Linked DNA regions of Callithrix jacchus. The protein of the gene in region 1 interacts with the protein of each later gene in a pairwise test. Links are inferred from orthologs where the notes say so. Each region holds a gene or a part of one and is shown on either strand. Other genes may lie near its edges.

The links.
Region 2: the proteins of SMURF1 (region 1) and WFS1 interact in binary tests that used the Homo sapiens proteins (3 or more experiments, as listed by UniProt). The link is inferred for Callithrix jacchus from reciprocal best matches to the Homo sapiens genes SMURF1 and WFS1.

The regions. Positions count from the first base shown.
Region 1 is NC_133503.1:14,452,728-14,457,099, forward strand, and holds the start of SMURF1 (E3 ubiquitin-protein ligase SMURF1), read left to right. Parts: upstream 1-1,282; 5' UTR 1,283-1,595; coding exon 1,596-1,650; intron 1,651-3,501; exon of another isoform or gene 3,502-3,599; coding exon of another isoform or gene 3,600-3,612; intron 3,613-4,372. UniProt on the Homo sapiens protein: E3 ubiquitin-protein ligase that acts as a negative regulator of BMP signaling pathway. Mediates ubiquitination and degradation of SMAD1 and SMAD5, 2 receptor-regulated SMADs specific for the BMP pathway.
Region 2 is NC_133504.1:186,512,950-186,516,752, forward strand, and holds part of WFS1 (wolframin), read left to right. Parts: intron 1-2,934; coding exon 2,935-3,083; intron 3,084-3,803. UniProt on the Homo sapiens protein: Participates in the regulation of cellular Ca(2+) homeostasis, at least partly, by modulating the filling state of the endoplasmic reticulum Ca(2+) store.

The DNA.
Region 1 (4,372 bases):
CCATCTCTACTAAACAAACAAAAATTAGCCAGATATGGTGACTAACACCTGTAATCCCAGCTACTTGGGAGGCTGAGGCATGAGAATCACTTGAACCGGAGAGGCAGAGGTTGCACTGAGCCAAGATCGTGCCATTGCACTCCAGCCTGGGTGACCAAGTGAGATCCTGTCTCAAAAAAAAAAAGTAAAATAAAAATAAAGTAGTGCATAAAAAACAAGTTTGATAAACCTAGCTTTCTCTCTAATAACATATTTCCTCTCTATAACATGCTAACAAAGATGTTTGCTGGAGAAAGTGCACAATGAGCTTTTATAGGGGGTTTTCTTTTTGGAGACAGTGTCTTGCTCTGTCACCCAGGCTGCAGTGCAGTGGCCTGATCATAGCTCACTAAAGCCTTTAACTCTGGGGCTCTAGTGATTCTCCCACCTCAGCCTCGCAGTACCTGGGACTACAGATGCGCGCCACCATGCCCAGATAATTTTTAAATTTTTTGTAGAGGTGGGGTCTCGCTATGTTGTTCAGGCTAGTCTCAAAATCCTGGGCTCAAGTGATCCGCCCGCCTCGGCCTCCCAAAGTGCTGGGATTACAGGCTACAGCCACCTACCCAGCCATGAGCTTTTGATTCTAACCTGCGACCCTGGGAGAAGGGGAAATTTAGCAGAAGGCAGGGGAACACAAGCCACAGTGCCGCTTTCTTGTTTGGTCAAATTGTGTGCAGATTGGAAAATAACACGCATCTACCTCTCAACTTTATCTCTCTCTCATCTACTTGCCCTTGTCGTCTGTATGTGGCACTTCTGCGATTCTGGCGACTTTGTTATGGGTCAGTTGGAGCACACCCGTTGCACAGAACACATCTAAGCGCTTTGTCTCTTGGAGAGGTCCCTCCCTTGAACTTGCACTATCGAAAGCTCTTAACTAAAAAACTGGTATTGCACGCCTGTGTGCAAAGTGCTTGGTGTGAACACAGCCCACGGTTTCATGCAAATCCCTCTTCAGTCACTCAGGAGCGCGGGCCAAGATCGAGGGCGACGGTGCGCTGGGCCCCGGGGCCAGCTCTGCTCTGTCTTCCCGGGCTCAAGGCAAGACCCTCCCACCCGCCGGCCGGAGGAAGCGAGAAGACCCCAGCCCGCGGGATCCGGGTCCTGCGCGCTCGAGGCTGGCGGGCGACGTAGTGGCGCAACCCACCCCGCCCCGACGTACGCCGCGGAGGCGCGCGCGCACGCAGGCGCGGGGGCGCGCAGGGCCGGGCCGGCACGGCGGCGGGCGCGCGCGCGGCTCGGGGAGGCGGCGGCGGCGGCGGAAGCGGCGAGGGCGGCGGGCGTCCGGCTCTGAGGTGGTGGAGGCGGCGGCGGTTGCTCGGGACTGGGCTCGGCTGGGAGGAGCGAGGGTCAGGGCGCCGCAGCGAGCGCCGATCTCCCGGCTCTACCATCCGCCAGCTGCCCAGACGCCTGGGCCGGGGAGTTTGTGTCCCGGCTCGGACCCCGGCGCCCAGCCCGGAGCCGTAACCTTGAGGCGGCGGCGGCGGGGCCGGGCCGGGCCGGGCCGGGGGGCGGCGGCGCTGGATCCGCGGCTGCCCGATCGTTGGCGGGAGATGTCGAACCCCGGGACGCGCAGGAACGGCTCCAGCATCAAGATCCGTCTGACAGGTACGGCCGGCAGGAGGTCCACCCGCGCTCCGGCGCCCCCTCGCCCGCCCGGGAATTCCCCGCAGGGCGCCCTTGGAAGCGGCCCTCCCCCACGCCGGCCGTAGTCCCAGGACCTCGTCACCCCCTTCGACGTGCGCCCCTCGCTTCTCCCTCCCGGCCCCGCCCCCTCGCCGCTGCCCGGCCCCGCCCCCTGGCCGCTCGCTCCCCCTCGGTCTCCGGTTTCCTCCCGTTCCCCCGCACCTGCCCACTCGCGTCTCCATCCTGGCCCCGCCCCTCTCATTTTCATTCCTGGCCCCGCCCCTCACTTTTCCTTTCTTGGCCCCGCCCCTTGCATCTCCTTCCAGGTCCTATCCCCTCACCTCTCCCCGACTCGGCCCCTAGCCTCTCGCTTCCCTGTCTCTTCCAGGCCCCGCCCCGTTGCCTTTCACCTCCATCCCCAGTGGTCTTCTCGCTTCCTCCCTTTCCCCCCACCCCGGCACCTGACCTCTCACTTCTCCCTGTCCCGCCCACTCGCTTCTCCCAGGCCCCGCCCCCGCGCCTCTCTCTCTCTTTCTCTCTCTCTCTCTCTCTCTCTCTGACCCGCCCCCTCACTTCTCCTTGGCTCCGGCTCCCTCGCTTCTCCCTGGCCCCTGCTCTCTTGCTTCTCTCTGGTCCCGCCTCCTTACTTCTCCCTGGCCCCGCCCCCTCACTTCTTCCTGGTCCCGCCTCCTCACTTCTTTCCTAGCTTCAGTCCTCACTTCTCCCTGGTCCCGCCCCCTCGCTTCTCCTTTTTTTTTCCTCCTCTGCCGTTTTTACCTCCTCTATCCTCCTCGATTCCCATTATCTCCGCCTACCTGCCCCCTCGCTTTTTCCTCCTGGCCTCGCCTGTGTTCCCTTGGTCTCATTCTTCGCTTCTCACCACCTTCCCATCCTCTCTCTTGCTTTCCTGTGTCCCCTCCCACTTGCTTCCTCTCTGGTCCCTCCCACCCACTTCTCCCCCACCTCCATCCTCTCTTGCTACCTCCCCTTCCACTTGCCCACTTGCTTCTCCCCTCCTGCTCTCACCCACACGCTTCTGAACCCCTCAATCTTTCGTTTCTACCTCTCCCCTACCGTCCTTCTTTCTTCCCCTGGCCCCGCCCCTCACTTTAGTCCCCGCCCACATTCCTACCTTGCCCCGCCCCCACGTGCTGTCTGACTGGGCCTCCACCCTTTCTTTCCTTCAGCCTCAAATTTCTCCATCCTATCTAGTAGCTGCTCTCAGCCCTGCTCTCTTCAATCCCCCCTGGTCCAGCCCTTTTCAGTCTCAGTCTGGGCCACTTCCTGTCTCTTAGGCCAGACCGCTAGCTACTCTTGACTCTTCTTAAATTCTTACCTTTTCTGCATTTCACTTCACTATCACCCCCACCCTCAGCACCCCTGAGCCCCAGTGAGACGCTGATCCCTACTCCCACACTCACTGGAGGCTTTGGAAGCTACCCACAGGCAGGCTCCTTCATTCATTTCGTCTTCAATGAAAAGCCTGTGTTTCCTGGGTGGCTCTGTAGTGCCACCTTCAAGAGTGAGCGCGACGCTCTGCCGTGGGCCTGCGACTTGGTGGCGCGGCTGTGTGTAGATGCCAACCTGTCTCCCCAGCGGGCTCCAGAGGTTCTGGACCAGGCTGCATCCTTGTCTTCTCTTGTTGACTCTCCTCGGTACTAGTCTCTTCCCAGTTTCAATTCATCCCTAAAGCAGGATGGCTGTGTTGCAAATGTGACTCTGCTCTAGGACTTTCCAAACTCAAGTATTTCCAGCTCTGGAAGAAAACTAAAAAGTTCATTCTAATCCTCGTCAGGGATTTTCCCCTGGATTTTTCTGTTCAGTGGCCCCGTCGGGTGAGAACTCCAAGTCCGGGTCTGGTCAGGTCCTTTCAAAGAGCATTTTGAATACTTTGTGGCAGATTCACAGCCATAAAGTCATCAGTAAAATTCATGCAAACAACAGGTAATTTTTTTCAAACAAAACTTTACTTTGAAGCCCATAGTTGTTGCACAGCCCAATTTTTGTCTTAAGAGAAGATTTTGTTTTTTTGTATAAAGATGTCAGATAATGATTTGGATTCAAACCCAGACCCTGGTTTTGTAACGTTAATAGGTAGTTCCCTCTGGGATCTTTGCTTCTGGGGAAATATGCTTCTTTACGTCAGGGCTGATAAGTAACACCTCTCACTTTGTAGATACAATGTAGATACATTGTTATTTATGTGATAACATAAAAGTAACATTTTCGAGATTGTAATACTTTGTAAAACTTTTAACTTGGTTCTGATTTACAACTTAGTGGTGATGGTGTACACATGCGATGTAATTGACATCAGATTGGTTTCAGTACCTTGTTAAAAGCGAAAGTAACTGATTTTGTGGGGTTTGTTAGAAATATAATGAACGTTTTATAAGATATAGGTTTTAATTGAAATGTTTATGATATATAGATATATAAATCAATCCTAGTTGCAAAGCCTAAGCCTATCTATCAAAGGGAGGACTTGGTTTGTCCTTCTCCCAAATTACTTTTGGATTCAGGAATTTAGATGTTATCCATGCAAGAATGCTCTGAGGAATTTTTGGATGACATTTGATAGGGAAGGGTCAGGTGATGAGTGTTCTTTCTGAAACACCTTTTCCCTTTCCCTTCCACTAGATGTTATAAATAGTCTGAGAGGATCTGTGAGTATGCTCATCCTTACAATAGGATTGAGGTTTAG
Region 2 (3,803 bases), on another chromosome or scaffold:
TGTGGCAGATCATGTTGGATGGAGGGGTTAGCGGGCGCATAGTAGGCATGTAGTAGATCATGTTGGATGGAGGGGTTAGCGGGCACATAGTAGGCGTGTGGCAGATCATGTTGGATGGAGGGGTTAGCAGGCGCATAGTAGGTGTGTGGCAGATCATGTTGGATGGAGGGGTTAGCGGGCGCATAGTAGGTGTGTGGCAGATCGTGTTGGATGGAGGGGTTAGCGGGCGCATAGTAGGCATGTAGTAGATCATGTTGGATAGAAGTGTTAGCAGGCGCATAGTAGGCATGTAGTAGATCATGTTGGATGGAGGGGTTAGCGGGCGCATAGTAGGTGTGTGGCAGATCATGTTGGATGGAGGGGTTAGCGGGCGCATAGTAGGCATGTAGTAGATCATGTTGGATAGAAGTGTTAGCAGGCGCATAGGTGTGTGGTAGATCATGTTGGATGGAGGGGTTAGCGGGCGCATAGTAGGTGTGTGGCAGATCATGTTGGATGGAGGGGTTAGCGGGCGCATAGTAGGTGTGTGGCAGATCATGTTGGATGGAGGGGTTAGCGGGCGCATAGTAGGCATGTAGTAGATCATGTTGGATAGAAGTGTTAGCAGGCGCATAGGTGTGTGGTAGATCATGTTGGATGGAGGGGTTAGCGGGCGCATAGTAGGTGTGTGGCAGATCATGTTGGATGGAGGGGTTAGCGGGCGCATAGTAGGTGTGTGGCAGATCATGTTGGATGGAGGGGTTAGCGGGCGCATAGTAGGCATGTAGTAGATCATGTTGGATAGAAGTGTTAGCAGGCGCATAGGTGTGTGGTAGATCATGTTGGATGGAGGGGTTAGCGGGCGCATAGTAGGTGTGTGGCAGATCATGTTGGATGGAGGGGTTAGCGGGCGCATAGTAGGTGTGTGGCAGATCATGTTGGATGGAGGGGTTAGCGGGCGCATAGTAGGTGTGTGGCAGATCATGTTGGATGGAGGGGTTAGCGGGCGCATAGTAGGTGTGTGGCAGATCATGTTGGATGGAGGGGTTAGCGGGCGCATAGTAGGTGTGTGGCAGATCATGTTGGATGGAGGGGTTAGTGGGCGCATAGTAGGCATGTAGTAGATCATGTTGGATGGAGGGGTTAGCAGGCGCATAGTAGGCATGTAGTAGATCATGTTGGATGGAGGGGTTAGCAGGCGCATAGTAGGCATGTAGTAGATCATGTTGGATGGAGGGGTTAGCGGGCGCATAGTAGGTGTGTGGCAGATCATGTTGGATGGAGGGGTTAGCGGGCGCATAGTAGGCATGTAGTAGATCATGTTGGATGGAGGGGTTAGCAGGCGCATAGTAGGCATGTAGTAGATCATGTTGGATGGAGGGGTTAGCGGGCGCATAGTAGGTGTGTGGCAGATCATGTTGGATGGAGGGGTTAGCGGGCGCATAGTAGGTGTGTGGTAGATCATGTTGGATGGAGGGGTTAGCGGGCGCATAGTAGGCATGTAGTAGATCATGTTGGATGGAGGGGTTAGCGGGCGCATAGTAGGTGTGTGGCAGATCATGTTGGATGGAGGGGTTAGCGGGCGCATAGTGGGTGTGTGGCAGATCATGTTGGATGGAGGGGTTAGCGGGCGCATAGTAGGTGTGTGGTAGATCATGTTGGATGGAGGGGTTAGCAGGCGCATAGTGGGTGTGTGGCAGATCATGTTGATTGGAGGGGGTAGCAGGTGCATTAGTAGGTGTGTGGCAGGTGGATAGTAGGTGTGTGGCAGATCACATTGGATAGAAGTGTTAGCAGGCGCATAGTAGGTGTGTGGCAGATCGTGTTGGATGGAGGGGTTAGCGGGCGCATAGTAGGCATGTAGTAGATCATGTTGGATGGAGGGGTTAGCAGGCGCATAGTAGGCATGTAGTAGATCATGTTGGATGGAGGGGTTAGCGGGCGCATAGTAGGTGTGTGGCAGATCATGTTGGATGGAGGGGTTAGCGGGCGCATAGTGGGTGTGTGGCAGATCATGTTGGATGGAGGGGTTAGCGGGCGCATAGTAGGTGTGTGGTAGATCATGTTGGATGGAGGGGTTAGCAGGCGCATAGTGGGTGTGTGGCAGATCATGTTGATTGGAGGGGGTAGCAGGTGCATTAGTAGGTGTGTGGCAGGTGGATAGTAGGTGTGTGGCAGATCACATTGGATAGAAGTGTTAGCAGGCGCATAGTAGGTGTGTGGCAGATCGTGTTGGATGGAGGGGTTAGCAGGCGCATAGTAGGTGTGTGGTAGATCATGTTGGATGGAGAGGTAGCAGGTGCATAGTAGGCATGTGGCAGATTGCATTGGATGGAGGGGGTAGCAGGCGCATAGTAGGCGTGTGGCAGATTGCGTTGGATGGAGGGGTTAGCAGACGCATAGTAGGCATGTGGTAGATCATGTTGGATGGACGGGTTAGCAGGGGCACAGTAGGCGTGGTGGTAGATCATGTGGTAGATCATGTTGAATGGAGGGGTTGGTGGGCGCAGAGTAGTCCCTGTGCAGATCATGTTAGATGGAGTGGTTGGCAGGGTGTCACCTATGCTATAAGAAGCCCCACGCCAGCTGGAGGCAGAGGAGGGTGAGAGCATGCACTGGAGATGCAGGTTGTAAGGCTTAGCAGGTGGGCTGGGCTGAAAGGTGTGGGTGAGTGGCCCCAGGCATGAGGAGCTAAGCAGAAACGGACACTTGGGGAGGGGACAGCACACCCAGGGGCTGGAAATGGAGGCTGGCTCTTAGCAGACCTGCCCCGTCCTCCTCACCCAGCCTGGTCCTCACCCCTCAGGCCACCCAGGGAAAGATTTCCTCCACCTGAACCCGTTCAGCTCCTTTCTTAGTTTGTTCCAACTCCGCTGTCCCCGGCCCATCCTCTGTGTGAGGGTGGCAGTGGGGCTGCAGTGGGGGGCCCCCATGCTGTTTTCTCTCATGCTTCAGCCAAGAACTACATCGCGTTGGATGACTTTGTGGAGATCACTAAGAAGTACGCCAAGGGCGTCATCCCCAGCAGCCTGTTCCTTCAGGACGACGAAGATGATGACGAGCTGGCGGGGAAGAGCCCTGAGGACTTGCCGCTGCGCCTGAAGGTGAGTGACCGACCCTGGCCAGGCAGAGCCTGCCTCCCAGGGACTCATGCACCTTAGGCGGGGCACCTTCTGGGAAGCTGCAGGTGGGGAGGTCCTCGCCTAACAGAATGTCCTACAACCGTGCTGCTGGTACCTCGGGGCATCAGCTGTCCTCATAAGGATGTGTCCTTGGGAGGGAGGCCTTTTTTTTCTGAGCTGTCATGCTTGGAAACCAGGGGTAGTGTTGGGTGGGAGTGCTGGGATGGCAAGCACTGGTCTTTCTTTGCACAGCACAATGTGGAGGACAGTGGGTCGGGGCTGGAGGCCAACTCTCATCTAGACTTTGTCACTTAACAGAATTCCCTATGTGTGGTCTAGAGTGGAGGTTAGTGTCTTGAAGATGCCTTCCCCCAAGACAAAGAGCTCATGTCCATCAGGCCAGGGAGGCTGTGCAGAGGTGCCCACTGCCCCCAGATCTGCAAGGGCTCAGGGAACGAGGCCCGGTGTGGGAGCGTGGTGGGTGGCACTTGTGCAGGGTGACAGTGGGCACACCTGGAGGATGTGAACAGGCGAAAGCAGGGATCAGGAAGCCCAGCGATGCAGGCTCCTCCTGGCCTGACAGCTTTTCTTAGTTTTCTTGGCCATGTGGCCCTATGGCCTCTCACAGAATTGCCCCTGGTTCAGCTTGCATAGTTGAATTAGACACTTACGTATCTCACTCTGCAGAGAACAGCAGGATTT